Notamacropus eugenii: one gene and its partners. The protein of the gene in region 4 interacts with the protein of the main gene of each other region in a pairwise test. Links are inferred from orthologs where the notes say so. Each region holds a gene or a part of one and is shown on either strand. Other genes may lie near its edges.

The links.
Region 1: the proteins of TEX11 (region 4) and TSC22D4 interact in a two-hybrid assay, tested with the Homo sapiens proteins (2 studies listed by BioGRID and IntAct). The two-hybrid records come from large-scale screens. The link is inferred for Notamacropus eugenii from reciprocal best matches to the Homo sapiens genes TEX11 and TSC22D4.
Region 2: the proteins of TEX11 (region 4) and EFHC1 interact in binary tests that used the Homo sapiens proteins (3 or more experiments, as listed by UniProt). The two-hybrid records come from large-scale screens. The link is inferred for Notamacropus eugenii from reciprocal best matches to the Homo sapiens genes TEX11 and EFHC1.
Region 3: the proteins of TEX11 (region 4) and MAPKBP1 interact in binary tests that used the Homo sapiens proteins (3 or more experiments, as listed by UniProt). The two-hybrid records come from large-scale screens. The link is inferred for Notamacropus eugenii from reciprocal best matches to the Homo sapiens genes TEX11 and MAPKBP1.

What each region holds. Positions count from the first base shown.
Region 1 is NC_092873.1:80,327,291-80,335,023, forward strand, and holds the start of TSC22D4 (TSC22 domain family protein 4), read left to right. Parts: upstream 1-4,719; 5' UTR 4,720-5,283; intron 5,284-6,232; 5' UTR 6,233-6,535; coding exon 6,536-7,279; intron 7,280-7,733.
Region 2 is NC_092873.1:118,739,788-118,746,673, reverse strand, and holds the start of EFHC1 (EF-hand domain-containing protein 1), read right to left. Parts: upstream 3,005-6,886; 5' UTR 2,885-3,004; coding exon 2,822-2,884; intron 1-2,821. UniProt on the Homo sapiens protein: Microtubule inner protein (MIP) part of the dynein-decorated doublet microtubules (DMTs) in cilia axoneme, which is required for motile cilia beating.
Region 3 is NC_092878.1:27,979,495-27,986,469, forward strand, and holds the start of MAPKBP1 (mitogen-activated protein kinase-binding protein 1), read left to right. Parts: upstream 1-3,970; 5' UTR 3,971-4,261; intron 4,262-4,705; 5' UTR 4,706-4,803; coding exon 4,804-4,920; intron 4,921-6,975. UniProt on the Homo sapiens protein: Negative regulator of NOD2 function. It down-regulates NOD2-induced processes such as activation of NF-kappa-B signaling, IL8 secretion and antibacterial response. Involved in JNK signaling pathway.
Region 4 is NC_092879.1:100,227,670-100,235,554, reverse strand, and holds the start of TEX11 (testis-expressed protein 11), read right to left. Parts: upstream 3,017-7,885; 5' UTR 2,857-3,016; intron 491-2,856; 5' UTR 464-490; coding exon 430-463; intron 1-429. Other genes in the region: SLC7A3 (cationic amino acid transporter 3), read right to left, coding at 6,117-6,241, 6,357-6,465, 6,626-6,792, 6,918-7,102, 7,336-7,438, 7,606-7,745. UniProt on the Homo sapiens protein: Regulator of crossing-over during meiosis. Involved in initiation and/or maintenance of chromosome synapsis and formation of crossovers.

The DNA of each region.
Region 1 (7,733 bases), on a different chromosome or scaffold from region 4:
GCCAGACACATTGATGAACATGGATACATGGACGTATACACAGGTAAACAGATCTAGAGACAGATGCACCCACAGACATAAACACCCACAGACACACCCACAGACTAGAGACACACACAAACACACAGACATCCACATTAATCAGATACCCAGAATTAGACAGGCTGAAACAGAAGAGTTAATGCTTGGTGCCTTATTGGTGTAGGTTTACAACCATTTTTTTTATGGGGGGTGGGGGAGGCTCAGTCAAGTTCCCAGCATCTGGGAGGAGGGAAGGGGGACTGAGTCAGGCAACAATCACTCTTCTTAACCCAAGACTGTAGTCCAGCACCTGACTGCCTAATGAATCACCCCTGCCCCCACCCGTACCCCAAACACACACAAACACACACATACACATACACACTCCCCTTCCTCCCAGCATTTAGGCTAGGGCCTGGCCCTGCTCCGTCTCCTTGTCATATCCCTCTATCACCTCCTTGGCATCAAGTCCCCTGCCTCCCCAAGCCCTGGCTCCAGTCTCCTTCCACCCTCTTGGATCTGGGGATGCGGACAAGCCCTTCTCCATCAGTCCCAAGTGTTGGCTCACCCCCGAAGCATCAGTGGGAGAGGGTGGGGGTCGCGGGGGGGTGGTTGCAGGTTGAGTCCCTGGCTCCAGAGATCTCCCACTCAGTGCCCACCCTCTTACCTAGCCTGGCACTTGCCCCATCCCTCCCCATCCCCGTTCTCCTTGCTCATCCTGGGGCCTCTTCCTCCTGCATCCCTACATCTCCCCGGATTCTCTGGACCTGGCCTGCCCCATCTCCCGGCCCCGTGGTTCCCGTGCCCTCCTCCACCTCTCCCCTCGTCCGGATCCCCTGCGCCTCTCAGCTCCCCTTCCTCCACCCAACACCCCTCCCTGCCCAGCCAAGTCCCCCCAGTTTCCCCATTGCCCCCGTACCTGGCCTGCCAGGCGCCGGCCCCCCCATGCCGGGCGGAGCCCGGAGCAGGAGGAGGAGGAGGGAGGAAGGGAGAGAGAGACAGAGAGATCAGGGGGAGCGGAGCTCGGGCCTGCCGCAGAGACAGCCCCGCCTCCAGGCCCGCCCCCAGACCCGCCCCTCCACGCGGGCCGGGGCAGCGGCGGGAGCTGGGGCGCTGAAGGGAGACTGAGGCGTGGAGGCGCGGGCCGCGAGTGGATGGGCAAGGGTGAGCGGGGCGGAGAAGCCCGGAGACGGCGAGGGGCCGGCCCCGGCGCCGGGGCCTTCGAGCGGCCGCTTGTCTTCAGGGCTTCGCTTGACCCGCTCCTCCGCCGACCCGGGAACCTAAGTTTGTGGCCCCAGCCGCGACCACCTCGGGCTGCGTGCGGCTCGGGCGCCCCGGTGCGCCTTGGCGCGGGGGGCCCCCTGGTGGCCGCGTGCGGACCTGCAGCCGCCGGCCCAGCCCTCTTCACTCCTTGTCTATTTCACAGCCCCCTCCAGCCCGGGAGCCGCCAGGAATGTGTGCTGGCCCTGCCAGGGAGGGGAAGCTTACTGAGGGGATCCCCGGCCCCCCTTGGCTCCTCTGTGAAGCAAGGGGCTTGGACAAGGTGTTCTCAAGGCCCTTTCCGGCCCTAACATCTTGCGGTTTGGAGTTGGGGATCTTGCAAGTTTCAGGGCTCCCCCCAAGGCAGGCCAGCCGGGGGTGGGGCGCTGTAGTTAGATGGAGAGACCAGTAGGGGTAAGCAGGCTTCTTTTCTGAGAGACAAAAGAGACCGGCCCAAGACAGACAGATGGCTGTACGAATAGACAAACACACCTCTCCAGCAGGAGGGGCTGTTCGCCTTCTAGGTCTCCTGAAGAGGAGAAGGCTGGGGGGAGCTGGCTTCATCCTTAACCCATCGACTTTCCTTTCCTGCTGTACCTGGCGTCCTAAAAACCTGGACCTTGCTTCTCCGTAACCCTCGGCACCCCGGAATAGCACGAGCTCTCATCCTAGGACTCGTGCAAGGATTACTTTGGGGGGCAAGTCAGTGGTCCCTGATCATGTTAATTACCGCCACTGATCGCAGCACTTAGCGTCTGTCTCTATGAAGTAAATTCCAAAACCGTGAAGACCTATCCACCTCCCCAATCCCTACCCTCACCCACCTCCTAGAAATCTGAGATCCCACAATTGGTGATTTATTCTTTTGCCTTTAGGTCTTAACTTCTGTTAAAATACCCTTAGGCACAGTGAAGTTCCTAGAGAGGAGAGAAAGCATATCTATCTCTTCCCTCTCAGCAGAGAGGTGAGATTTCTAGGACAGAGTATTGTATATATTCTCAGGTAAAGTTTCCGTATCAGTTTTCCCTTCATTGTTTTTCTTTGTCACAAGGGAGGGTGTAGTGGGGGTGGGGAGGGAGGGAATAATGATGATGCAAAGACCAAGTGATCAATAAAATGAGTTCTCAAAATAATCATGAAATAAAACATGCCTGGAAGATATAACACTATTGTAATAGAATATAAGCCCTTTGAGGACAGGAACTGTTGTGTTTTTCATCTTTGTTTCCTCAACGCCTAGAACTGGGCACTTTAGTAAATAAATATTTGTTGAATTGGATGAGTTTGTAAACTGAAAACAGTTTTTTGGGGGAAAATAAAGGGAAGATAGTGATGGGGGGGGCAGAGAACCCCAGGGTTTAAAGCGATAGTTTTCTTACTTGGCTATTGTTTCTAGGACTAGTTACAATCATAATTATCCAAAAGCATTTCCTGAAAAAATTTGGATTTATTTGAATTTATGCCTTTATATTGAGATGGGTGCTTAAATACTGTGACTGCATGCAGGGAATACTGTGGGTGTGGTACTGGAAGAGCACTGTGCCAAAGAGAGGGGTAATTGACACTATGAGAGGCATATAACAGTTATTCTAGGAAGTATAGAGTAGGATCTGTGGGGGCCTTGCTTCCAGGGCCTTACAGGAGAAGGGAAGGAAACAAGCCACAGTCCAGATTTCTTTTAGCAAACAGAAACACACATACATATATGGACACATACATGTATGTGTGTATGTATGCATATAAATATAATACATGTCAGTTGCATCTTACACTTTGTGACTGACCCTATTGGGGATTTTCCTGGCAAAGATACTGGAGTGTTTGTCATTTCCTTCACCTGCTCCTTTTGCAGATGAGGAACTGAGGGAAATAGGGTTAAGTGACTTGCCCAGGGTCATGTAGCTAATAAGTTTCTGAGGCCAAATTTGAACTCAGGAAGAAGTCTTCCTGACTTCAGGCCCAGAGTTCTATCTACTGTGCTACCTAGCTGCCCACATCTATATGATGCAGTATTTTGTGTGTGTATACACATGTGCATATGTACATATACACATATGCATCTATGTATATATATACAATATTAGAAATGCTGTCAAGAATTTGAAGGGGAGAGTTCACTGGATCATGTCTATTAAACCGAAAGGAATCTTAGAGCTTATTGAGACCAACCCCCTCATTTTACAGTTGAAGAAACTGAGGTCCAGAGAGGTGAAGTGATTTGCCCAAGGTTGTATGGCTAATAAGTATATGAGGTAGGTATCAAGGATCTTTCTTGATAAGATTTGTCTAGGGAGGACTGGAAGTCACTCCAAAGATCAGTCAATCAAGATTTATTAAGTGCCTTGTTAAGCCTTAGGAATACAAAAAGAGGCAAAAAATATTCTCTTGAAAATATTCAAGGAGTTCACAATTTAATGGGGGAGAACAACCTCCCCCCGGAAAGAGGGGATAGTAACTTCCCTTGAACTCAGGAAAGTGAAAGGATACTTAAAACTACTATCCTCTGAATGTTTTGAGGGGGAGGAAGGGGAGAGGAGAGCGGGGAGTATAGTATAGAAATTACAAAGTATGCTTTGGGACATTTTTGCTGTCCAAAAGTGGAACAGGCTGTTTTACTTGTTGTGTGACCATGGCCAAGTGACTTAAACTTCTTGAGCCCTAGTTTCCTTATCTGTAAAATGGAAATAATAACCTGTAAAGCCTATCTCACAGATGTCATGAGAATGCTTTTGCAAACCTTGAAGTCATATATAAAAGCTAACAATGATTATAGAGTAGCTTTAAATGGCAATGAATTTGTTAGAATGGAAGTTCTCCATGAGGCATGATGGGACCTTGACCTCTGAGGTCCTTTCAGATTCTGAGAACCTAGAAATCTATGAAATCTCTTTATGCTAAATGGCCTGTCCTTGAATTTCTTTGGGAGAAGCAAGGTGGTAGGGTCGTAAAATGAGAAAATAGGAATTTGGATTCTTTCTAAGAGGAGTTGTGTGTGTATCTCTGTGCACAGATATTTATGTGTATGTATACATATGTATATATATGTATGTATGTATGAGTATCTGTGAGGGCATCTGTGAATCTTTGTTTACCTGTTCATATTTCTACAAATGTGCTGAGTCCAAAGATATATATATACACATACATACATACATATATATAATACATACGTGTGTGTATGAATAAATATCCTCTGTGTCAGTTCACGTATATGGACATTTATCCGTGTCCCCGTGTAACTGCAAGGGAATTGATCTTTCTTCCAACCCAATCTTGACTCCCTAAAGTACTGGGAAGAGCCTACCTCACCAGGCAGGTGTGGGGTTAAGAGGACCCCAGTGTTTGGGGCCCCCTCTATGAGCCACAGTAGTTCTGGAGTAGGGCCAGCTGGCAGAGAGCCCCTAGAGGAGGGCGGGCAGGCGGGAGAGAGTGAGAGAGAGGAAGAAGGGAAGGAGGAGGAGTAGAACAGCAGTCAGCAGGGCTGAGGAGGCAGGACTTCCTGGTGTGGGGGTTGTCAACAGCTCAGAGAGAGAGAGACAGACAGACAGAGACAGAGAGGAGCTAGGGAAATTGAGAAAAAGAGACAAGAGTCCAAGAGAGAAGAGCTGGAGACAAGAGAGAGACACATGCTCGATGAGAGAGACAGAGAGACAGAAAGAGAGAGAGAGAGAGCGCGCGAGCGCGCTCCACTGTCAGAAGGGAAAAGATTCCAGAGAGAGTAGCCCTCGGCTTCTCTCCGACCAGCTGTGCTTTCAGACCTAAAGGCCCTTCACCACCATAAAGGCCATATTCCTCTGGGACTGAAAGCAGTGCTTATTATTTTTTGGAAAACAAAGTTGCTGTGGAGATGACTTGTGGGTCAAGGAAAGGCCTCTACGGACTGTACTGCCTGTGACCACCACCCACCTCCTCCCTTTTCTTGGAGCTTAGGCTGGGAGGCCCCACTCTCCTGCTCTCCTGTGGACAGTCTGTTGGGGCATCTTATGCTGCCAGGATCCCCAGGTCAGGTTTCTCGAGTTGCTCTGGGGAAATTTAGAGGTGGGATTGTAGGGGGGTGTGTGTGGTGTGTGTGTGTGTGTGTGTGTGTGTGTGTGTTTGTAGGGGTGTGTGTGTGTGTGTGTGTGTGTGTGTGTGTGTGTGAATTTAGAGGTGGGATTGTAGGGTGTGTGTGTGTGTGTGTGTGTGTGTGTGTGTGAATTTAGGGGTGGGATTGTAGGGGTGTGTGTGTGTGTGTAGGGGGGTGTGTGTGTGTGTGCGTGTGAATTTAGAGGTGGGATTGTAGGTGTGTGTGTGTGTGTGTGTGTGTGTGTGTGTGTGTGAATTTAGGGGTGGGATTGTAGGGGTGTGTGTGTGTGTGTTTGTAGGGGTGTGTGTGTGTGTGTGTGTGTGTGTGTGTGTGTGTGTGTGTGTGTGTGTGAATTTAGGGGTGGGATTGTAGGGGGGTGTGTGTGCGCACGCATGTGCCCAGTTGGGGTAGCCGAGGATTAAGGAGAAGTTTTAGCACCCCATAGATTCTGAAATGGGTGCTAGTAGCACTGAAGGGAAGCTCTCCTCTCCCCTCCACCCCAAGGTAGACTAGGGTGTGAAAGCCCATGCCAGACCAGAGCTGTGAAGTGGTGAGCTCACCTCCCTTTCCTGTAGACCCAGATTCCTTGCTACATCTCGAACTTGGGACTTGGCTTGTCTCTTTCTGCACAGTACCAATAATAACCCATGTAATCTGTTTGTTTTGTCTTTACTTCCTCCAGCTCCTTGTCTCTACCTCATTCTGTTTCCCATTCTTTTTTTTTCTTCTACCTCTTGTGGTTCCTCTATCTCTCTCTGGTGGTTTCCCTCGTTTCTCCCCCACCCTGATCTCCACTGCTCTCCCCACAGAGGAAGCACCCAGAGTGTCTTACTCCCATAACACCTACTCCCTCCCCCAGTGACTCTCTAATTTTTTTCCTCCTAGTTTGCAAGTTCAGCTCTGGAGTCCAACAGCGGCAGCAGCAGCAGCAGCAGCAGCAGCAGCACTGGCAGCAGCAGCCAAAGGAAAGCCTGCCCATCCTCCAACTCCCACAACTTCTCTCCCTGCTATTCCTCAATTTCAGAGGCGGCCCCAGTTCCTTGAACTCTCCCAGCTATGTTGGACCCCGATGTTGCCAGGGGCCCTGATCCCACAGCTATATGGCCTCCTAGTGCCAGGGGCGCCTGAGCGCTGCCTGGAGAGAGGCCTCTCCTCTTCGTGCAGCTCCTGTCCCATTTCCGAGGGACCATGAGCGGGGGTAAGAAGAAGAGTAGTTTCCAGATCACCAGTGTCACCACAGACTATGAAGGTCCTGGGGGATCTGGGGGAAGTGACTCCCCTACAGCTATGGTTCCCACCTTACCCACACCTCGTCTTCCCAATGGCGAGCCTAGCTCAGAGCCGGGAGGCAAAGGGACCCCTCGAAATGGCTCTCCACCTCCCGGGGCCCCAGCGTCACGTTTCCGGGTAGTGAAACTTCCCCAAGGACTGGGGGAACCATATCGCCGAGGGCGCTGGACATGTGTGGACATTTATGAGAGGGACTTGGAAGCCCCAGGACTCAGCCGGCTCCTGGAGGGAGTTCGGGGAGCCACTGGAGGGACTGGTGGTCGCTCTTTGGATTCTAGGCTAGAGTTGTCCAGTTTGGGCCTGGTTCCCCCAAGCCCCCAACCTCAAGGCCCAACCAACTGGCTGCGTCCACCCCCAACTTCCCCTGGCCTTCAAGCCCGATCTTTCACTGGGGGACTAGCTCAGCTGGCAGGGGGCAAGGGGAGGGCTGAAACACCACCTCTTCCAGCTTCCCCACCCCAGCAGCACCCCCCGGAGCCCAGCGATGGGGACAGTACAGGGGTACTGGTACCACATGCCTCAACCCAGGTGCCCACCCTTAGGGTAGAGGCCGAGGTGGGGGCCCCAGCAGTGACTCCTCCAACCACCCGAAAGAAGGATGGAGCCTTTTGGCTGAGGAAAGAGGGGGAGGAACGAGGCCAGGTAAGAGGCAAGGGTGGGAGGGGTGCACGAAAAGGGGGTCTCTCTGCAACTTAATTTTCTTCCTTGGACTTGTGTTAGTCTCATGCCTTGTCCCAGTTCCTTCCTGGACTTCAGGTTCCCCTTTATATCTATTCTGTCCTCCTCAGTTTTTCTTTTTTTGTACCTCAACTCTCCCATCCTTATATTTGACTCTTCCAGTCCCTAATACTTCTCTATGAACCTGAATTTCCATCCCTTCTCTCAATTCCATTTCTCCCTCTTTTGCTCTCTTCCCCTTCTCTTAAGTTTCTTTCTCACTTTTATTTCAGTGTTGTGTATCTCTTTTGTCCCTCCGTATCTTTCTGTTTCTCCATCTGTTCTTCTGAATTATATAGTTTTCTCTGGACAAAAGTTTCAGAAATGGAGGAGACTGATTGATAACACTAGGCTCTGTAGGGGAGGGTGTGAAGGATCT
Region 2 (6,886 bases), on a different chromosome or scaffold from region 4:
TCATTCTGTTTAGGTGACAGCAATGGATACAGCAGAAAGCCATTGCCTGATAAGTCACTCAAATTGCCTGCCTCTAAGAATGGCCACAGGCTCATATGCAAAAAACTTTCAACTCATTACTAAGTACTAACTCACCATCCCCAGCAAATTTTTAGCATCATTTTCAAATTGCAGAAAATTCAACTTGCATCTAATTCTGAAGGTCAAAGATGATCAACACAAGCAAGGACTTCACAATTTCCCTATAATCACAATGAACAAGGGGAGGGAATCCCATAATTTTTATTCCCTCACCAAATCTGACATCTAAGTGCAATACAAGAGAAATACATCGCCATTTTGTGCCATTGAATACAAAGCATTTCATGCACTTGGAAAACTCAAATGTAAAGTATGTACACTTTTGGCTCCTTCTGTGCAATCTGCTTGCTAAATGGCAAAAGAGACCTTCCAGGAAACAAAAACCCACCAATTAACTTGGTCAAGCAAAACTGGAAATTTAGAAAGGAAGCAACTAGTCTGCTATAGGAAGAGGAGATTCTGTCAGACAGTTTGATGTGAAGGTATAAGTGGATCAGGGATGGGGTCGGTATCTTGACTGGGGTAGAGGAAGGGACACACTGACAAATGGGGAAGGATAACATAGGGAGGAAGGGAAAAGAAAGTTCAAAGAGTATAAGAAATGTTGATGAAGAAGGAGATTTTAACATTAGTATACAACCAGTCAGATTAGTTTTCATCAGAGTGATTACTTTTTCCCCCTCTTTTACAGCTTTGCTTGACCAAGTCAATTGGTGAACTTTGTTTCCTGAAGGTCTCTTTTGCCTTTAAGCAAGTTGTAGATGGATGGGGCTGGGAGAAGACAGCTAGAGTTAGTAAGATGGAATGAGGCTAGCAGTCCGAAGGAAGAGGCATGGTAACTCACATTTTCTATCATGAATGCTTAAAGATTTACAAAGTGCATGTCTGTCAACAATCCTGTGAAGAAAGTGCTATATGTATTTAATCATCTCATTTTACAGGTGAAAGCACTAACAGAGGTTGGTAGGAAAGACTTGGAAAGGGGGCTTAGGTGGGGTGAAGACTTGGAGAGGCAGAGTTATAAAAATAATAGCTACCATTCATAATATGGGTTTACTAATTATTTCTCTCAAAACAACTTATTGAAGTAAGTACAACAATTACCGTTATCCCAGAGTACCTACCTCCTGGTTAGCCTATGGAGAAAAGAAAACTTAGCACCCTATCTAAGATAGGTAGCTGTTTTCAAGTATTTGAAGGTCTATGACCTGGAAGAGATATTGTATTTTTTCCATTTGGTCCTAGAAGGCAGAAGTAGGAGAAATGATGGATGTAGTGAGAAACAGACTTAGTCTTGATGTAAGGGAAAGCTTCCTAACAACTAGACCTATTCACAAGTGGAATGGGCTGCCTCAGGAATTAGTGGGTCCCCTCTCACTGGAGGTCTTCATGTGGAGGCTGGATGCTGAAGACGCCATAGAGAAGATTCTTGTTTAGATGTAATGGGTGCTTCCATCCCCTAGATTCTGTGATCCCCATTTTACAGCTGAGGAAACTGAAGCTCAGATGGGTTAAGGGATGTCACTTTGTGGCATTGCTAGAAAGGATGAGAAGCAGGATTTAAATCCAGATCACTCCACAGTCCAGCTTGTGCTCTTTATACTGTACCACTGGTGGAGAGGGCAGGCAAGGAATGGAGATGGAGATAAGAGAAGAGGTAGAGGATCTCAGAGACAGAGTTGGAAGGAAGAGAGATGGACGTGGGAGAAGAGAGATACAGGAATAGGCTAGGAATAGAGGGAGAGGAAGCAACAGAGTTGGACCTGGGATGAGGAAGAATGGAGTTTTGAGGAAAAAGAACAAGGTTGAGACTTAGGAGGGCTATGGGATAGGCTCAAATGAGAATTTATATAAATACCTTTACAAAAGGCTGTGTAAATGTCAATTATTAGTGTTAATGGATGGGGGAACGAAGATGGGAAAGAGGGAAGAAGCTAGGAAATAGGGATGGGGTTGAGGGAAAGAATGCACTGAATGGGAATGCATGGAGAAAGGGCTGCTGCTGGAAGAAGGAATGGGAATGAAGCCGGGAACTGCAGCTGGGGGGTAGAGATGGACCTCGGGGCTGGAAGATGTTCTGGATGGGAAGGGAAAGGTGTGGGAGATGGTTCTGGGAGAAGGGATGGGGGTCTGTAGAGAGAGCTGACTTTAGGCTACGAAAAAAGATGGGAGTTGGAGGAAGAGGGTTGAGGTTGGGGGGTGGGGGTGGAGTAGGAGATTGACCTGAGAGAACGGATGGGAGTTGGTAGAGAGGACTGAGGCTGGGGGTAAGCCTCGAGAGAAAAGATGAAGCCTATTTTGAATTTTATATCATGTTTCAGGGTATTCTCAATTTGAGAGGAGAGGACTGGAGGGGGAAGGAGATCGGTCTGAAAGAAGGGAAAAAAGTGGGGCTGAGGGCTGCATCTAGATGGTCGTGGGAGGATAAGATTGATTGGGGGAGAAGTCTACAGCTAGAGGTGGGAGACAGGTTGGGAGAAGGGATGGGTGGCGCAGAAAAAGACTTGGAGGAGGGATGCAGCTTGGGTAAAGGGAGGTGGAGCTGGAAGAAGGATAACGTCGGCAGCTGGAGGGGGAAGGTGGAGCTGGAAGCTGGGCTGGGCTGGAGAGGTACAGGGAATGGGCTGTGGGAGGCAAAGAATTGGGACTGGGCCCAGCTGGGGATGCTAGCTGCCCTTAGAAAAGGTGAGGAGTGGGAGTAGGCGTGCCGAGGCCCAGCTGGAGCTGGGCTGTTCCTCACCCTGGGGTCGCTGAAGGAGAAACCCGGCAGGAGGGGCAGCCCGTGCACAGGCTTGGACATCATCGCCACAGCCGCTGCCGCCTTCTAGAGCCCAGCTTCTGTCTATCCCGTTGCCCTGGCGACTGGAACTCGCACGAGGGCTGTGCAACCATGGCAACGCCAAACATTCGCAGGGCACTGAACAGTAGCAGACAGAACGGGGAATGACGTATCTGCGCCTGTGCATTCCGGTGGTGGCGTCCTCTTTGCACCCTTGTGAACCCCTTGAATAGGCGACCTTGCAGCAGTATGAGAGTGTTTTCTGATGCTGGATGCTCCGCACCAGTGACAGCATGGTGGGGTGGGGGGTGGGGGGATGGCCTTCTGCACGGAATTATGACATTTAGAGGAGTTGGATTTCCTTTCTTTTCTTTTTTAAAATTTTGATTATGAACTTAATAAGCTGTAAACATTTCAGTACACAAAGAAGAAAAGCAGAGAATTGTATGGGACACAATGAACTTCTGTTACGCAGTTTAAGAGTGTAGTAAATTTAGAATAGTAATGACAAAATTTCCCTGTTTGACTTGGTTCATTTTTTTTTTTAAGTTTTATTGATGTGTTTTGGTTTTACATTTACAGATCACTCCCACTCAGTGAGAGGCCTCCATAACAAAGAAATACAGTTAATTACACTAATAAAATAGTGACTTCATCTAAGTGTGCACATTTCACATCTGTAGCACTACCACCCCCATTAAAAAAAAATATTTTCTCTAAAAAAGAAAAATTTATTATGACAAATATGCATAGTCAAGTAAAATAAATTCCTTCAATGGTATACACAATATAGATGTAGATATAATTATATCTCATTTGGCATCCTAAATCTGTCACCTCTCTGTAATGAATAAACATTTCATCACGTGTCCCCTGGAATCATTAAGGGTCATTGTATTGATCATAATACAGCTTTCAAGGTTGAGCTTTACAGCGTTCTCACACAAAATTGTTCTCCTGGTTCCACTCATTTCATTATCAGTTTATTAAGTCCTCAAAATTGTTTTTGTAATTGTGATGTTATAAGTTGTCCTGGTGCTGCTTCCTTTATTCTGCATTAATTCATAAAAGTTTTTCTATGTCTCTTGAAATCATATATTTCCTCATTTTGTTCAACACAGCAGTATTCCATCATGGTGATCTATCACAATATATTCAGCCATTTCCACAGTTAATGGACTTCTTAGTTTCTATTAAATATTTTTGTTTATATATAAAAGTTATTTTCTTCTTTCTTTGATCTCTTTTGGGTATAGACCTAGAAGTGGTATAGCTGGGTCAAAAGGCAATCAATAGCTTTTCCCTCTGTCTCCCACTCCCATCCCACCTTTCCTTTTTGCTTCCTGTTACTAACTCCACATTCTTTTCTATCACAGCATTTCTGAAATGTGGCAAAAAGTTTAAGAAGCCCTGCTCTATTATAACTTTTCTTAAGAAGTGATGATGATAAAACAGCATTAAGTTTGTTGCCTTTTAAGTTTACCCATATTGTGTTGCAAACAACCACTAATACAATCTTTTCCCCATCTGTGAGAGTATCTACATGTTCACAGGTGACAAAACCTGAAGTCAAAAAAAATTTATCTCTAATGTTGATATTTGAAGGCATCAACCAACCATGGGGTAAAGGATGAGACTTTGTCCAGGGTTCCTGAAATTATATGAGTAGGTGAAGGCATATGTATTCTGCCTGTTTCTCATGTTATCCTGAGGTAATTGTCCTGCCTTTTTTTTTCTGAGCAAGAGGTTTGTTACCAAGTTGTGCACCTATATTTTTAAATGGTATTTGGGGCAGTTTCAACCTGTTGTTCTTAATCTCCCAGAAAAGGGGGGTGGGGAAAGAGAAGAAATTACTCTCTAAACTAGAGCACAGTGGGTTTTCAGTTGAATGAGAACTAAATTCCTGATGGTGAAAATTGATTTTGTGACTGGCTACTGAGGGAGGTTGATGGATGCTGTTTCACATTGGCTAGGTTGGAGGAAGGAGAGAAGGACCTTGTGGCGAATAGATTTTGATCTTGTCTGATCCACTTAATAACCTATTACACTCTTAAGTACACAATCAATAAATAGCATTTATTGATTGTGTACTATACATACATACATACACACATATACAAAATAAATAAGAAACAGATGTTAAGTATTGGAGGTAAGTGGGAGGGAGATTCAGGAGCAGGGAGGATCAGGAAAAGCTTCTTGCAGAAACTGATTCATAAGCTGAGATTTGAAGGAAACTACATATTCTAAGAGACAATGGTAAGCATGGAGACAAAAAAATGGAGTCCTTTATAATGAAGAATAAGAAGGCTAGTTTGGCTAGTCTAGGGTACCAGAATGAAAGTAATATATAATGAGACAAGAAAGATACTTTGGAGCCGGGTTGTAAAGGGTTTTAAACTCCAGAGGAGTTTATGTTTGATCCTAAGGCAAGGGTTGTTAACATTTTTTGTGTTCATCATGGACCCCTTTAGCGGTCTGGGGAAGCCTATAGACTCCTCATAATGTTTCTAAATGCATAAAATGAAATACATGAAAGTATAAAATATACAATTATGTTAAAATACAGTTATCAAAAAATTTTGTACCAAAAAAACCTCACAGATTTCAGATTTAGGGCCATTGTCCAAGAGGTAAATAAATAAACTGAACTTTATTGAAAAGAGGATTGACATGGTCAGTGCTATCCTTCTGGCATAACACTTTGGTAGCTGTGTGCCAGATGGATTGGAGAGAGAAGAGACTTGAGGGAAGGAGACCTATTAGGAGTCTACTGAGCAGGGAGGGGGGAGTTGAGAGAATAAGCATTTATATAGCATCTCCTATGTGTCACAGGTAATGAGGGTTTGTGAGTAGGGAGTGTGTGAGTGAGTGAGGACCTCTGAGTAGGAAGAAGAGGTTGTATGTTTGAGATATTGCGGATGAAGAAGCAACAAGTTTAGGCAAATGATTGATATGTAGGTTAGGAGAGAGTGAGAAATTGTGGATAACACGGAGGTGGCCAACCTAGTAATGGGAAAGATGGTGATTCCCCCTTTCTCTTCTACTACACTGCTTTTGGATTTCATTGGACCTTTCTACCATGCCTTCCCTTTTCAGGGTTTTCATTATCCTGAAAGATTGAATCTGCCTGGTACTCACATTTTTTGGCCCCTCTAATTGGACACTCTTGGCTATAGGTCAAGGCCATAGGCTGTAAGGCTTTTATTTAAGAAAAGGGTTCAATGTATTCTTCTCCCTATTTCCCACCAGCTACACTGCTTTTGGTGCTTTTGGACTTCTCTGGACTTCTCCTTCATTCCCCAGCACCTGGGTACCTCCCCTCCCTCCTCTTCTCCCTGTCATCTTCCTTTTGTGTGTTTTGGACATACTAAATTTGAGTTATCTGTGGGACATCTATGTCCAAAAGGCAGTCAGTGTTTTGGGACTGGAACTCATGAGAGAAACCAGGTCAACCTCAGGAAGATGTACATTCAAGGCTTGGGAGATAGTCTGCGTAAAGTTATAGAGATGTCAGATGGAATGTCATTTAAAGGAAACACCAAACATGGTAATTTCACAAGAATGTAGAATATGTGTAGGATGATAATATGCACTAAACCTAAAAAGGTAGGCTGGAACCAGATTGTGAAGGGCTTGAAAAGCCAAACACAGGAGTTTGTTTTTTATATTATATGCAAGAGGTAGCCATGGGTATTTCTTGAACAGGAGAGTAACCAGGTCAGACCTGTGTTTAAATTTCATATCCAGGTCCTCAACTCCAAATCTAGTAACTTATTAACTTTGTATGTTATAAATCTTAAACAGTTTTACTGCCCTCCTCCAAGGAATTAGAAATCACCCCATAAATGGGTAGGGCACAAGGTATGCCACTTCATTAAGACTTTTGGTAGATTCTTTAGTCTGTTCCTTGGCTAATTAGGGAGAAAGTGGAGGCAGAGCCTGGAAAGGGTGAGTCATCCTCATGGTCGTTATCCATTGTGGCACTGTCTTCTATTTAAGGAATGACCTATGTTCAGATAACTT
Region 3 (6,975 bases), on a different chromosome or scaffold from region 4:
CATAAACTATAGATGTGGTCTGAGCAGAGCAAGGTATGGGGAAAAAAATCACCTCCTTATGACTGACAGCTATGCTCGTTAAGCCTAAGATTACATTAGCGTTTTTGCTGCCACATCATAGTGTTGACTCATATTAGCAGTGCATTAAAACATCTCAACCTTTTTTTCAGGCTATCCCTATCCTATATTCGTGTTGAAATTTGAACCAATGGTAAAACTTTACACTTACAAGATCTTTTGGATGTGACAGTCAACCAATTTGTTAATGAACCCCAACTTTGTTTCATCTTCAAATTTAACAACCATTCCATCTCTCTACCTTAAACAGTCATTGATAAGAATGTTAAACAGCATAGGGGCAAACACATAACCCTAGGGCACTCCACTAGACTTCCTACCAAGTAGGTATTTGACTATTATTGACTGTGGTTTGAATCCAGCCATTTAATCTGTTCTGAATCCATCTCGTTGTTTTATTGATTAATCTTTCCATTTTCTCCCCAAAAAATAATATGAGGTGTTTTGTTTCTTTGTGAAATATTTGAGTTAAGACTTGGTAAATAAACTAACTACACACGTACTCACACATTCAGTCATGTCTGTCTTCATTCCCCTATTTGTTTTAGGGAGTTGGTTTTTTTTCTGGCAGAAATACTGGAGTGGTTTGCCATTTTCTTCTCCAGCTCACTTTATAGATGAGAAACTGAAGCAAACAGGAATAAATAGGTTGCCTGGGATCACACAGCTGAGACTGGATTTGTACTAGGATTCCATCCTTTGCTCCACCTAGCTGCCCATAAGTTTAGAAACAGCATAAAAAAAGGAAATTAATTTGGCATCACCTTAAAGCCACATTAACTCTTTGTAATCACTGCTTCCTTTTCTGGATTTTCATTAAACATCTTTTTGTTTTATATTTTTCCCAGTAACTGAAGTCAAGTTCACTGGTACATAGTGACTATTCTCAACTTTTTTTTTTTTTTTAAATCAAGGCATTTGCCTTTCTCTCAGGCCATGGTACCTTCTCCTGTTTTCCATGATGCTTCAGAAATCACATCCACCAATTCTTTCAGTACCTGAATATGTAATTCATATATTCCAGACCTTTTACTCTATCCCCATGGGTATCAGCTTTTGGTTAGTTTTTTTGTTTTGTTATTTCCAGTACAAAGATCGTTCTACTTAGCAGATAAACAAAAGAAGTATTGAGTAGCTCTACTTTTGTTGTCAGTTCCCATCCACCCCAACCAGAAGTCTTACCCACTATACTTCCTCTTTCTCTACAATAGTTATTTAAAAAAATAAGCAAAAAACTCTCATCTTTTTGCTCTCTTTATCTTTTTGAACCTGCCTCAGCTCATTCTGAGATTGAACACTACTACTAGGACTTTATGGGACCATGCTATGCCATGATCTTATATTTATTCTGCTGCCTTCCTATTTAGCATCTTCTGACCATATCTTTTTAAAATATGGTGAGTTTCCTATACATCCATATTCTTTCCAGACAATTCCTGTCCCTCTTTACAAACTCTCCACTTCAACCAAAAAATATTACTTCTATATTTCCTAGATACACCATTCCATCTCTTTCTGTGCCTTTACAGACTATTCCTGGAATGCCTTCCATTTACTTTACTCCCTAGGCCAATATGCAGGCCACCATGTAGTCCAGCTCAGAAATCAAACCCTGAAGGACTTGATCCTTTCGTGCCTGGATCTCTTGCCTTGGAGAGTGATTGCTAGTTGGTGGTTGCCTCAATTGCCCACTATGTCTAGGACAGGCAATCTTGCCTCACTTTACCAATTCTGGAATGAAAAGCAAATCAACTCATTATTACTCCTAGAAAGGGTATATCAATCTACTCCCTCATGTCTCCATGTACCATCCCTATAGTTTCCGTACCAAAAAGTCCCTCCCTTGTCAACACTTTCCTGTGTTTGTTACTTCTTCCATTAAAATTTGTTTCCTTGAGGGCTTCGCTCAGTGCTTGGAACAAAGTAAAGTGTTTAATAAATGCCTTTGGTTTTTCATCCTTACTTCAAACTTTAAGGAATCTAATTTCCTTCAAGTGCTGCCTTCTTTAGGAAGTCTCCTCTACAACTGATAGTCTGAGAGAGCAGGGGAGACATGGACTTGCTCTTGGGTCACATCACCAGTATGACAGAGGCAGGTCTTCCTGGCTCACTGACCAGCTTCTCTATTGTCTCTCTTTTGTGTTTATATTTGGTTTTTATCTCCATACTTGACATGTTGCTGTTCAATCCTGTTGACTCTCTGTGACTCCCACAGACCATAACATACCAGGCCCTTCTCTTGAAGTCTGTCCAAGTTCATGTTTGTTGTTTCCATGACGCCATCTATCCATATGATCCCCTCCCTTTTCCTTTTGTCTTCAATCCAGTACTTGGCATATAATATGCTTAATAAATGCGTGTTCCTTGATTTAACTCTGAGGTTCCCAAACTTTTTTGACCCACTGCTCCCTTTAAAAAAAATGAAAAAACTCAGCATTGCCCTAAAAATCTACTTTCTTTAATCCTTTAATGGTTTTCTAAAAAAAATTGCATCAATTCAAAAAATATAAAATAATTGTTTTAAAAATGATGCATCTTAAATTTAATAATTTATTGTAAATTTGTGGGGTTTTCCTGCATAGAAATTTTGATGAACTATATAATAGTATTAAAAACTAGTCATTACATGCACATATTCCTGCCAATGCATATGCTCACTTCTGGGACAATTCATGATACCCTCACCTGCCAACACTTGCTTGTTAAGACCTGTCAAAGGATTTGATGACTGAGAGGTTATAACTTGAATTTTGTGTGTTTATTTGGAAAATAATGTAATCACTACAACTTTAACTATTACACAACAGAGGAAACATGGACGAAAGGTTTTTCAAAATTTTCTTCTTTCCTTAAGCTTCCACAGCCCCTTTACTTTTACTTACCCCTCCCCCCCAACTGCTGCTACTGCCCCCTCCCAGGATCGTTCCAGTGCCCATAGAGAAGCAGTATCACCCACTTTGGAACCTCTGAAACCAAATCGTGATTAATTTTGCCTAGAGTAAATCTTATGAGAAGGAGAAGAGGAAGCAGCCTAGCAGGGCCTAATAGCATTCTTTTTTTTGTTGGCCAGTCCTTGTACCCTCTCCCTGCCAAGTTCTAGGTACAGGGACCCCTAGACTGATCCAGGCCTATCTAGGTAGTTGGGTAGGACAATTAAATCTCCCAGCCAGCCACAGGTGATTGGAGACAGGGAAACAGCTCTTGTAAATCTAAGGACAAGACACGCGGGGTGCGGAACCTCCTCCGTGCCCACTAAGACTGAGCCCCCCAGGCCAGAAGCCAAGGACTCCACGAAGCTCCCTTTGGCAACTGGACGCCCAGTTTCAGCTTCTTCCGCGCCTGGGGACCAGTTCTGCCCCTCCACGCGCGGCATTCTTCGCGGGTGGTGAGGGGAAGAGGGGAGGTGGGTCCTACGTGTAAGCTAACGGACCTCAGTGCCCAGCAGGGCGTATCGTTCAGATCCCAGACGGACCCACCTACGTCCCTAGGCCTGTTTCCTTCCCTATAAAAATAAGAGCATGTGCCCAGATGGACTTTTAAGGGCCCTTCCCACTCTCGCATTCTCCGATGCCAGACTCCCCAGGATCGGTTCGTTCACGTTCCTCCCGGGTCCAGTCTCTCTCCTCTGCCCTTTCAAGCCTCTTCTCTCCAACTCCGCTTCTGCCACTCCTCCCTCTCCTCCCCGTCCTGGGGAAGACCGGGCCTCTCCCGCTGGCCCCGCCTCTCCCCGTTGGCTCCTCCCCTCTCCCCGCTGGCTCCTTGCCTCTCCCCGTTGGCTCCTCCCCCCTCCCTGTGGCCCCGCCTCTCCCCGTTGGCTCCTCCCCTCTCCCCGCTGGCTCCTTGCCTCTCCCCGTTGGCTCCTCCCCTCTCCCGGTGGCCCCGCCTCTCCCCGCTGGCTCCTCCCCTCTCCCCGCTGGCTCCTTGCCTCTCCCCGTTGGCTCCTCCCCTCTCCCGGTGGCCCCGCCTCTCCCCGCTGGCTCCTCCCCTCTCCCCGCTGGCTCCGCCCCTGCTCGGCCGGCCGGCCTCCTAACCCTCGGAGGGAGTCGCGGCCGCGGCCGTCGTTCGCGTTTTGAGCCGTCCGTGCCGCCGTAGCTGCCTGGAGCCGCAGTTGCGGCGAAGCTGGAGTTGCAAGCGCGATGCCCGGGGGACCTGCGAACCGGACGGTCTCCGGCTCCCGGGGCTGGTGAGGCGGGGCCCCGGACGGGGGGTGTGTGTGTGGCGCGGAGGACCGGAGGCCGGAGATTTTGGAGAAGCCTGGGGGAGGGGGCGGAGGGGGGGTGGAAAGTGGAGACCGAGGTGAGAGCGGCTGGGACCGGGGTCTCCCGGCTGTGGCTCCCGGCTCCGCTGCCCCCTCAGGCCACCCCCTGCCGCGCGTTGCCATGGGAACATTGGAGGGAATCTCCCCGCTCCCTCCGGGCCAGTCCCCCCGCGCCCCCGGATCGCGCGGACGGAGGGTGGGCCTGACGTCTCGCCCCTCCCCACCCGCCGATTTCGGGGCTTCTCCCCTTCCCCTCCCGGTCGTCGTTCCTGGCCGTGTGAGCAGCCCGGGGGGGCCCGGGGGGTAGCCCGGAAAGAACCTCGGAGCCTGGGCCGGGCCGGGCTGATGTAGTGACTCCCTCCCGTCTAGGTCGGTGCTGGGGCAGATCGGAAGACCCCATGGAATGAGGAGCGCGTGCCGAGGCCGGGGATCCGCCTGAGCCCCTGCGCCCTTTGGGGTCCCTCGCCATGATGTCTGTGGAGGGCTCCACCATAACCAGCCGGATCAAGAACCTGCTCAGGTCCCCCTCCATAAAACTGCGCAGGAGCAAGGCTGGCACCCGGAGGGAGGACATCAGCACCAAGGTGAGATTCGGTTCCCTTGGTGGAGCTTGGGGGGTCCGGGGCGGGGGGCAGGCCGTGAGACTGAAGGGATCAGAACACTTAAGTGGGGTAATTTCCCTGATTTCCAGTCATAGCCTCTCCACAGATTGATCATGCTTGGGTAAGCTACTGGCCCTGTTGTGACTCAGTTTCCCTTCCTGGGAGGGGACGTGGGTAGCTTGTGTGCCTGTTTAGAAACAGGGTTGTGACTAATGCTGAGTCCTCCCAGAGGGCTGCTGAGGAGCAGGTGAGAATTCGTGGAGCAGGAAGAGGATTATGGAAACATTTAGCCTGGGGGTTTGGCTTGGATTTCAGGTGCTCTCCTGGGTAACATCCCCAGAGCTCTGGGCAGATTTATTTATGCTAAAGCATGAACAAAACTGGTCAGCTTTTATTAGAAATTATGAACAAGAGGAAAAAGTTAAGGGGTCTGCCTGGTTTCTGCTGGCATAATGAAGTTGATGCCCATCAGAAACTGGAGGTAGCCCCCTTGCTCTTCTTACCATCAAAGTATAGTAATTATTTCATTTCAAAGCCTGGAGGAGGGACGGTGCCGAATGGGCAACATCTCTGGCTGTAAAAGGATCTTGGGAGTTCAGCCTTGAAGTTAGTCCTTTCCATTTCTTCTGGTGTTTTTGGGTTTTTTTGCGTTCTGGTTCATGTGCTGGACACATTTGCTGGACTCCACAATCTTGGGAAGGCCAAAGTAGAGTGAAGTTTGATCCCTGAGGGAAACCAGAGCTTCAATTCCCCGGATCAGATTAGGTTTTTGTGTGTTATTAGTCCTGTAAACACAACAGCTCTGTGAAGTACAGGACTTGCCACAGGGAGAGTCGTTTTGAGACAGCTACATTTTATTGCTTTGCCTGCATCTCTTCATTGGTTGAGCAAACCTGGCAGCCAGTGATTTAGTGCTCTACTATCCAGTGTGGTAGAGTTTTAAGAGAGCTCTGTTCAGATCCCTGTGCCTCAGGAGAACCTTACTTGGACTTAGTCAGTGGGTAAACAACCCACTGTATTCTAGCAAAGAAACTGCCCTGGATTGAAACTGACCCCAGGTTTCCATGCTGCTGTAGTTCAGGGATTTGTAGCCCTCCGTGCAGTTTGCTGTAGTTGGTATAAATATAGATTTGATCCCTACTGACTCAACTTTGTGGGACCTTTGACTCAATCACTTACACTTCCTTAAGCCTCAGTATCCATATGTGTAAATTGAAGGGGTTGAACGAGATGTTTTCTGAGGTCTCTTCTAGTTCTAGCTCTGTGGTCTTATGATCTTGTTGACTTACTTATCTAGATTGGATTTTTTATGAATGTTGGGTTATCCTTAAAAATGCTGTGTAGATCTGAGTCAGGTAGCTTGGAAATGATCAACATTTATAAATGTGTCTCTAGCCCGAATGTGATGGCTGATAATGGTGGAATTTGGAGGACTTTATAAAGGGAGCTTAGTCAGCAAGTGGTGTGATGCTTGTTCCATTTTTGCTGTAGAACCTAGAAAGTTCTGTGGAAGCTGCAGCTTTCTGATTCAGGGAGAATTTAATACAGATCTTGGAAACCCATGTTTCAATGATGCAAAGACTTTAGTAAAGTTTGTGCCCCTTTGACCAAAAAGAGTGAAGTTGTGATCTAAGTAAGCAGGGATTCTAGGAAAGGTCTTTAGTGTGTAAAAGAATAGCAGCTGCTTTTATATGACCATATTCCTGAAGACTAGGGTCCATCCGCTAGTTTGAGGATAAAAAGCACCCTTTTAACTCAGGCAGTGCTTAAGACCTTTTTAAAAATTTGACTAGGAACCCTATATTTATTTTGGGAGTTTCCTGATTATCCAAACAGCTTCCAAAATCCTGGAGTTTTCAAGGGGGCACTCTCAGGGTGCTTGTGGGATTAGTTCTAAAATGGAATTTAAAGATGGAAATAATGGGACCCTATACTGTCATCTTTTCAAGGTGAGAAGAAATATACTATCCATATGTTGCTTCCCTGGTAACGTAGTGACAATAGCCATTTTGTAGCATAGCATAGGCCAGCCCAAGT
Region 4 (7,885 bases):
AACTCTTAGTGTGGAAATTCCCTCCACTGATGCTGACCAGAGCAACTCACCTGAACCTTAGTCTTACATGGAAGTTGCCTGGGAGCCAGTCAATATATTAGAGGGAAGACTTAAGGTTGGGTCTGCCTGATTCCAAGACAGGCTCGTTACAGTTGCCTCTCAGGAGTCTAATGATGACTCATACTTAGCAAGCTCGCTTTATACCATGGGTGAATCAGTAAACTCCCCTGGTCAAGAGCCTGACAAGTGGCCAGTGGGTCCCTAGGGAGTCCACCAGGCCCCTCAGGCCTCTTGTCAAACCCACCAGGCCTGGTCCCACCCTCTCCTTAGTCCTGCCTGTTGATGTCATTTGTTGAAGGTGGCTGCCTTTACAGATCACAAGGACACCAAGGCCCCCTCAGCGGAGATTCCCTGGACTTCACGCTGTACCTTTCAACTCCTCAAAATGAAGCTCCCCCTCCATGTGGACACACTTCTGGATCACCAGCACCTAGAAAATTAAAGGCACACTTTGGCTGGGCTTCCCTTAGAGGGGCGCCCTGCCTGGCCCTCCCTGCCTGACTTGGCCTTGGGTCACTCCAGGGTCCCCTCCTCCTCTCGGGCCCTCGGCCCCCCCCACCCGGCCTCCCAGGGCCCCCTCCTCCTCTCAGGCACTTAGATCTGGACACCTGGCCTCGTGGATCCCCTGTCACGTCTCGGGACCCCTCATCCTCTCGGGCCCTCGGCCTCCCCACCCGGCCTCCCAGGGCCCCCTCCTCCTCTCGGGCCCTCGGCCCCCCCCCCACCCAGCCTCCCGGGGCCCCCTCCTCCTCTCAGGCACTTAGCCCCCCACACCTGGCCTCGTGGATCCCCTGCCACATCTCAAAGCTCCTCCTCCTCTCGGGCCCTCGGCCCCCCCCCCCCTCCCCCCGGCTTCCCGGGGCTCCCTCCTCCTCTCAGGCACTTAGATCCGGACACCTGGCCTCGTGGATCCCCTGTCACGTCTCGGGACCCCTCCTCCTCTCGGGCCCTCAGCCCCCCCACCCGGCTTCCCAGGGCCCCCTCCTCCTCTCGGGCCTTCAGCTCCCCCACCTGACCTCCCGGAGCCCCCTCCTCCTCTCAGGCACTTAGCCCCCCCACACCTGGCCTCGTGGATCCCCTGCCACATCTCAAAGCTCCTCCTCCTCTCGGACCCTCAGCCCCCCCACCCGGCCTCCCAGGGCCCCCTCCTCCTCTCGGGCCCTCAGCCCCCCCACCCGGCCTCCCGGGGCCCCCTCCTCCTCTCGGGCCCTCAGCCCCCCCACCTGACCTCCCGGAGCCCCCTCCTCCTCTCAGGCACTTAGCCCCCCACACCTGGCCTCGTGGATCCCCTGCCACATCTCAAAGCTCCTCCTCCTCTCGGACCCTCAGCCCCCCCACCCGGCCTCCCAGGGCCCCCTCCTCCTCTCGGGCCCTCAGCTCCCCCACCTGGCCTCCCGGAGCCCCCTCCTCCTCTCAGGCACTTAGCCCCCCACACCTGGCCTCGTGGATCCCCTGTCACGTCTCGGGACCCCTCCTCCTCTCGGGCCCTCAGCCCCCCCACCTGGCCTCCCGGGGCCCCCTCCTCCTCTCGGGCCCTCAGCCCCCCCACCTGACCTCCCGGAGCCCCCTCCTCCTCTCAGGCACTTAGGTCCGGACACCTGGCCTCGTGGATCCCCTGTCACGTCTCGGGACCCCTCCTCCTCTCGGGCCCTCAGCCCCCCCACCCGGCCTCCCAGGGCCCCCTCCTCCTCTCGGGCCTTCAGCTCCCCCACCTGGCCTCCCGGAGCCCCCTCCTCCTCTCAGGCACTTAGCCCCCCACACCTGGCCTCGTGGATCCCCTGTCACGTCTCGGGACCCCTCCTCCTCTCGGGCCCTCAGCCCCCCCACCTGGCCTCCCGGGGCCCCCTCCTCCTCTCGGGCCCTCAGCCCCCCCACCTGACCTCCCGGAGCCCCCTCCTCCTCTCAGGCACTTAGATCCGGACACCTGGCCTCGTGGATCCCCTGTCACGTCTCGGGACCCCTCCTCCTCTCGGGCCCTCAGCCCCCCCACCTGGCCTCCCGGGGCCCCCTCCTCCTCTCGGGCCCTCAGCCCCCCCACCTGACCTCCCGGAGCCCCCTCCTCCTCTCAGGCACTTAGATCCGGACACCTGGCCTCGTGGATCCCCTGTCACGTCTCGGGACCCCTCCTCCTCTCGGGCCCTCAGCCCCCCCACCCGGCCTCCCAGGGCCCCCTCCTCCTCTCAGGCCCTCGGCCCCCCAACCTGGCCTCGTGGATCCCCTGCCGCATCTCAAAGCTCCTCCTCCTCTCGGGCACTTAGCCCCCCCACCCAGCCTCCCAGGGCCCCCTCCTCCTCTCGGGCCCTCAGCCCCCCCACCCGGCCTCCCAGGGCCCCCTCCTCCTCTCGGGCCCTCAGCCCCCCCACCCGGCCTCCCGGGGCCCCCTCCTCCTCTCAGGCCCTCAGCCCCCCCACCTGACCTCCCGGAGCCCCCTCCTCCTCTCAGGCACTTAGCCCCCCACACCTGGCCTCGTGGATCCCCTGCTGGGTCTTGGGGCCCCTCCTCCTCTCGGGCCCTCAGCCCCCCCACCTGGCCTCCCAGGGCCCCCTCCTCCTCTCGGGCCCTCAGCCCCCCCACCCGGCCTCCCGGGGCCCCCCTCCTCCTCTCAGGCCCTCAGCCCCCCCACCTGACCTCCCGGAGCCCCCTCCTCCTCTCAGGCACTTAGCCCCCCACACCTGGCCTCGTGGATCCCCTGCTGGGTCTTGGGGCCCCTCCTCCTCTCAGGCCCTCAGCCCCCCCACCCGGCCTCCCGGGCCCCCTCCTCCCCTTGGACCTCGCCGCCCCTTGGGACCCACGAACCTAGTGACAGAAGAGGACGTACGCGCCCCAGCAAGCGGAGGCCTCGAAGGGACAAGGCCCTCCAAGTCAGCGGCCCAGGAAAGCGAGCGAGCTGAAGGAGGGTCCCGCCCAGCGCCCTGGGCTGCCGTCTCCTCAGTCACTGCCAAAGTTACTTTAGCTCGTTCTATTGGTGCCAGGTAACCTTTTGTTGGCGGATGCAGAAGAACGCGCAGTGATTGGGCGTTAAGGAGAGCATGCTGCTTCCTCATTGGTCAAGATGCCTCTACCCCCGCCTCTTTTCCCCAACAGGCAATTGGTGGAGAATCCTCCAATCAGGTCTCGTCTTTCTCCCTCTCTGAGGGCTCCGGTCTGGCTAAGCAGCCTGGAGGTCAAGTGGAAGGGCTAGGAGAATGGAGTGGGGGTGCTGGGAGGGGCACGTGGCCCAGAGCGGCTGCCCAGGAGCCACTGCCCCACACAGCCCTGGCCCGCAAGCCCTCCGTCTGCATACAGCCACCTTCCTGATACTCACCCCCTGACCAAGCTCCTATGAGCCCCCTCCCCCGCCCCCATAGCCCTGCCTCCTGGACGGCCCCTGGGCAGCCCCCAGGGCCTCAGAGGATTGGGGCAGAGGCTAGAGAGCTGAATTGAGTTAGGCTCCGGATCCCCAACCAGAAGGGCTTGGAGAAGCTCTGGAGACAAAGAGAGGCCACCCCATGATGTCAACAAGCCCAGGCACGACCCCCAGTTACTCCTCTGGAGGCTCCCAGAATTTCACTCCCTCCCTTCAGACTTTTTCCACTTGTGCATTCCTTCCTCCTCTCTCAATTCAAATCATGAGTATCTATGGAGCCTTAAGCCTATTCTAGTCAAGGCACAAAAGACCATTCTGCTCTGGAGAGCTATTACTGAAGGATCTGTCTGAAGGTCTGGAGGCCACCCTGCTGCTTCCCTTAATGTTCCATGGATCCCACTGGGCAGGAAGGTCCCAATCCCCTTCTCCTCCTCTTCTAGTCATAGATTTCCCAGCACACATACACTACACTGACTTTATAACCATCATACATTTTTCCATTGCACCTTTCAGGCATCTGCAACCAGAATTTGGGATTGGGATTCTTCTGAGATTTCGGGTTTACCGAGACTCATTTGAAGCTGTATATAGCCTTAGTGGGAGATTGGTGTTAAAGAGACTTTTGTGTATGGGAGCCAAGTGAGAGGGTTAAAAGCACTGTCACGTATATAGTGCTTGATGGAGCTTTCTGCAGCTCTTTAAATCAATCTCATTGGATCCAGCACCTGGCCAACCACAGTCCTGAGAGGTAGGTGTTATACTCATTTGATAGATAAAATAAAGGCCCAGAAAGATTTAGAGCTTTGGCCATGATCATAGACCGAGCTCCTAAGAAATAGAGAGTTAGAGCTGGGAAGGTTAGACTTTGCCAGGCTTAACAGTCCCTCTCGACTCAGAGCAACTTTCTCTACTCCTTCCTCACTCAGTTGTTGTGAAAGGGCCCCTAGCTGCCCAAGGCTCAGATTCTTGACTCTTCACAGGACAAAGATCATGTCACATGGTAGAATTTCACAGGGGTAAGCATACCACACACCTAGGGGAGAGGAAAGGGCAATGGGGGGGGGGGGGGGGGGGAATTGATGGAAGAGAAGAGCAGAAAAGAGCCAAGACTCTTTCTTGTGCCCTGAAGGATATCCTTCTAACTCGATTACAGGGTGACTGGAAAAGGGCAGTGGAGAATGTAAACTTTGCCAATCCCTTTGATTCTCTCTTCATTCTAAATACTGAAAGGAGCCAGGCTGGGGGGCGGAGGGGAGCAGGCCACACAGCACCTCATTCCCTTTTCATCACATTATCAGGTGGTCCTCACCTTGCAAATCTCAAGCTTCACATGGTTTTCACTTAACTAGAACCACTGAAGCCCTCCAAAGTTTGTGTCCTAAATCTGGGATCTTAATTTCCATGTTCAAGTATTTTCAGGTACTGACTCCAAGGCCTCCAAGGAGCTGGGTGATTCCTTTGGTCGAGTGATTGCAAACAGAGCTCCCAAACTGCAGAATTTGTAGGCACTGAGTTGGTATCATTGGAAAGGACCAAGAGAAGGGAAAAGTGTAGACAAAAGTGTGTTAGATGCTGTATGTCAGGTACTGTGCTAAGGGCTTTACAGATGTTATTTCACTGGATGCTTCCAGCAACCCTGTGAAGTAGTGGCTATTATTATGTCCACTTTACAGGTGAGGGAACTCGTAAACAGATGTTAACTAACTGGCCCGGGGTCACACTGGTAACCAAAGGTGAGTATGAATTTGAACTCCTGATTCCTGATTTTCCTGATTCCAGGCCCAGCACTCTACCCACTGTGTCATCAGCTGCTACCCATATGATACCCAGGCCATGGGTGGTCTGGCTATTCCCTAGCATAAACTGGCCTGGTGATGGGGAAGGAGGGATGTGGGAAGACCTCAGCATTACACGTGAAGCTATTGATGATGAAGTAGTTGGGGGCACAACTTGAGCTGAAAAAATGGAAGCAACTAAAAGAAATACAAGTCAATTCATGGCATTAGATCTGGCTAAAACCTTCTTCCCAACCTCTCAGCTCCAGGCTGAGAGCCTCCTCTCCTCCCATATGGCTCAAGAGCAGGAGAATCTTCAGCTGTGCTCCGATGTCACCCTTGAGCCAGCAGTCAGAACAGCCTTGGAGCAGCCCAGAGTGAGGAGGGTAGGCCAGAGACCCAAGTCACAAAAGAGCTGTCATCTCCTGCCTCCCCTTCAAAGAAAAGGCCCCAAGGCCCCAGCCCTCTGTGCTTGTCTGGAAGGCATTTCTTCCTCCATCTATTTGCCTCAGCCTTAAGCCATCTAGAACCCCCACACCAAGTTGCCCACATCTAAGCACAGCTGATTCCCTCCCTGGTTGGGGAGAACACAGTTCCAGGAACCAGGCAGCCTGAGAGGTAAGAAAAAAGGGAGTGGAAGAACCCAGAGAAGAGGATACACAGTTCCTGATTTTATTTTCCTCTGTTTAATTCAAAAAGCTCACAAAGTAGACTTCAGTAAAAAAGGTCAGACGAGAAACAGCAAAAGGTCAGTCCTTCAATCATAATAAATACAGTTCTGTTTAAGAACCTCCCCCTTACCCTTCCAGGCCTCATGACCCACCTGGCCCAACAGAGTCCAAATCCCCTACGTGTCGAGAAGACAAGTTGAGCAAGAACACAAAGACAGAGGCGATCTCCAGTGTTGTACCAACAGCATCGCTAGGCTGTCCGAGTCAGACAGAAGGGCCAACAGGGTGGCTGACTTCAGAAGTTTTGGCAGTCTTTGCAGGCTGGGGCATTGGCTCACTCTGACCCTCTAGGCTGTTCCGGATCCCATAGGTGAAGTAGATGGCAAACCCTGAGGGGAGGAAGAAAAGTGGCTGTGAGGTGGGAGAACAGAACCCAAGAGGCCTAAGAGGAACATGAAAAAAAAGTTGGAGGTCAGGTCCCTCCGTCCAAGGACAGATACTTACCAACCATCATCCAGATCCCAAATCGGGCCCAGGTGCCAGCCTTCATCTGCATCATGAGATAAACATTCACAAAAATGCTCAGCAGTGGGAGGACAGGCAGTGCAGGCACCTGAAGGAAGGGCACAATAAGAGGAACTCTCATGACTATGGAGGGTGCCAGGGAGAAAAACAAGATTCACTAAAATGATAAACACAAGATGGTAAAGCGGTGCTAGCATTGGCACACCATGGCTTCTCCTCGGTGCTTCTTCCCCTCAGAAGTCTCTTACCTTGAAGTGGAGATGAGTCGGGTTCTGGGGCTGCCTCCAGATGATGACAGTGGCCACAATGCCTAGCAACAGGAACAGGGCACTCACAGTAATCCAGGTGGGCTTCCCGGCCCTCAGCTGCTCTGACCAGTAGCCCAGCACCAAGCACAGGCCGGTTATCACCACAGCTGCAGGGTGAGAGAGGGAGAAGAAATCAGATCAAAGCAGACTGCATGCCAGGCCCAAATCAACCCATCTCTGGGGCCCTAGATACCCCATCCTGCTCTGCCCTGGTCCCCACTCCACTGCTCACCAAGAATCGATACAGCTACATAAACAATATGGCCAGAGAGCTGGGTGGGTGTAGAGTGGGATGGGCAGAGTAGGCTCAACAGGGTCAGGAGCTGATTCTCAGGCTCTCGCTCTTCCTTAACCTCCTGTGCCCACAGTTCCACAGGCTGATCCACCTTTGGCTGTGTTAGTTCATCAGGCTGGTACCTGGAGGCAGGAGGGAATCTGGTAACTAGCACCAGCACCTAGTTACTTTTCTCTCCTCCCCCTCCCCCCAGTATTTGGGGTTTCCTCTGTCACACACACACACCCCTTCTCCCCCAACCCCCACCGAGTAAAACCTTGGCTTGGGGCTGTAACAGCATGGGGAACAACGCCAGGTTTCCTCCTGGTGGGTCAGGATGAGAGAACAAGAATGCCAAATGGGGTGGGGGGCCCACCTGAGGATGAGAACACAAACGGCCACCAGGGAGTAGGCAAGCAGCGTCCCAATCGACATGAGGTCCACAAGATCAGCGAGCTCAAAAACAAACGCCATCAGGGCTAGGAGGGGGGAAGAGGAGAAAGCATTGGCCCACCTCCACAGCCGGGGAGGGTGGGAGGAGGCACCAGCATCTACAAGGTCTGAGAAGCAGGCTCACAAAGGGGAGGGAAGGCTAGGAGAGGCATGGATGGGAGGGAAGGGGAGGCAGGCAAGAAGGGATACACACCTGCAGTGATGCCCGAGACAATTGTGGCCACAAGAGGGGTGTGTGTCCGGGGATGGACTCGAGCAAAGGACCGAAACAGAAGGCCGTCCTCTGCCATAGCATAGATCACTCGAGGCATGGGGAACATGGAGCCCAGGAGGCTGGGGAGGGGGGGGGAAGGACAGAATCATAAGTACCTAGCATGGGCAAAGAACTGGACTGCCCCTCCCAAGCCTCTCTGTGGCAGCTCAGCACAGCTCTATCTGACTGTAAGTCATCCCTGACAGACAAGGTACACATT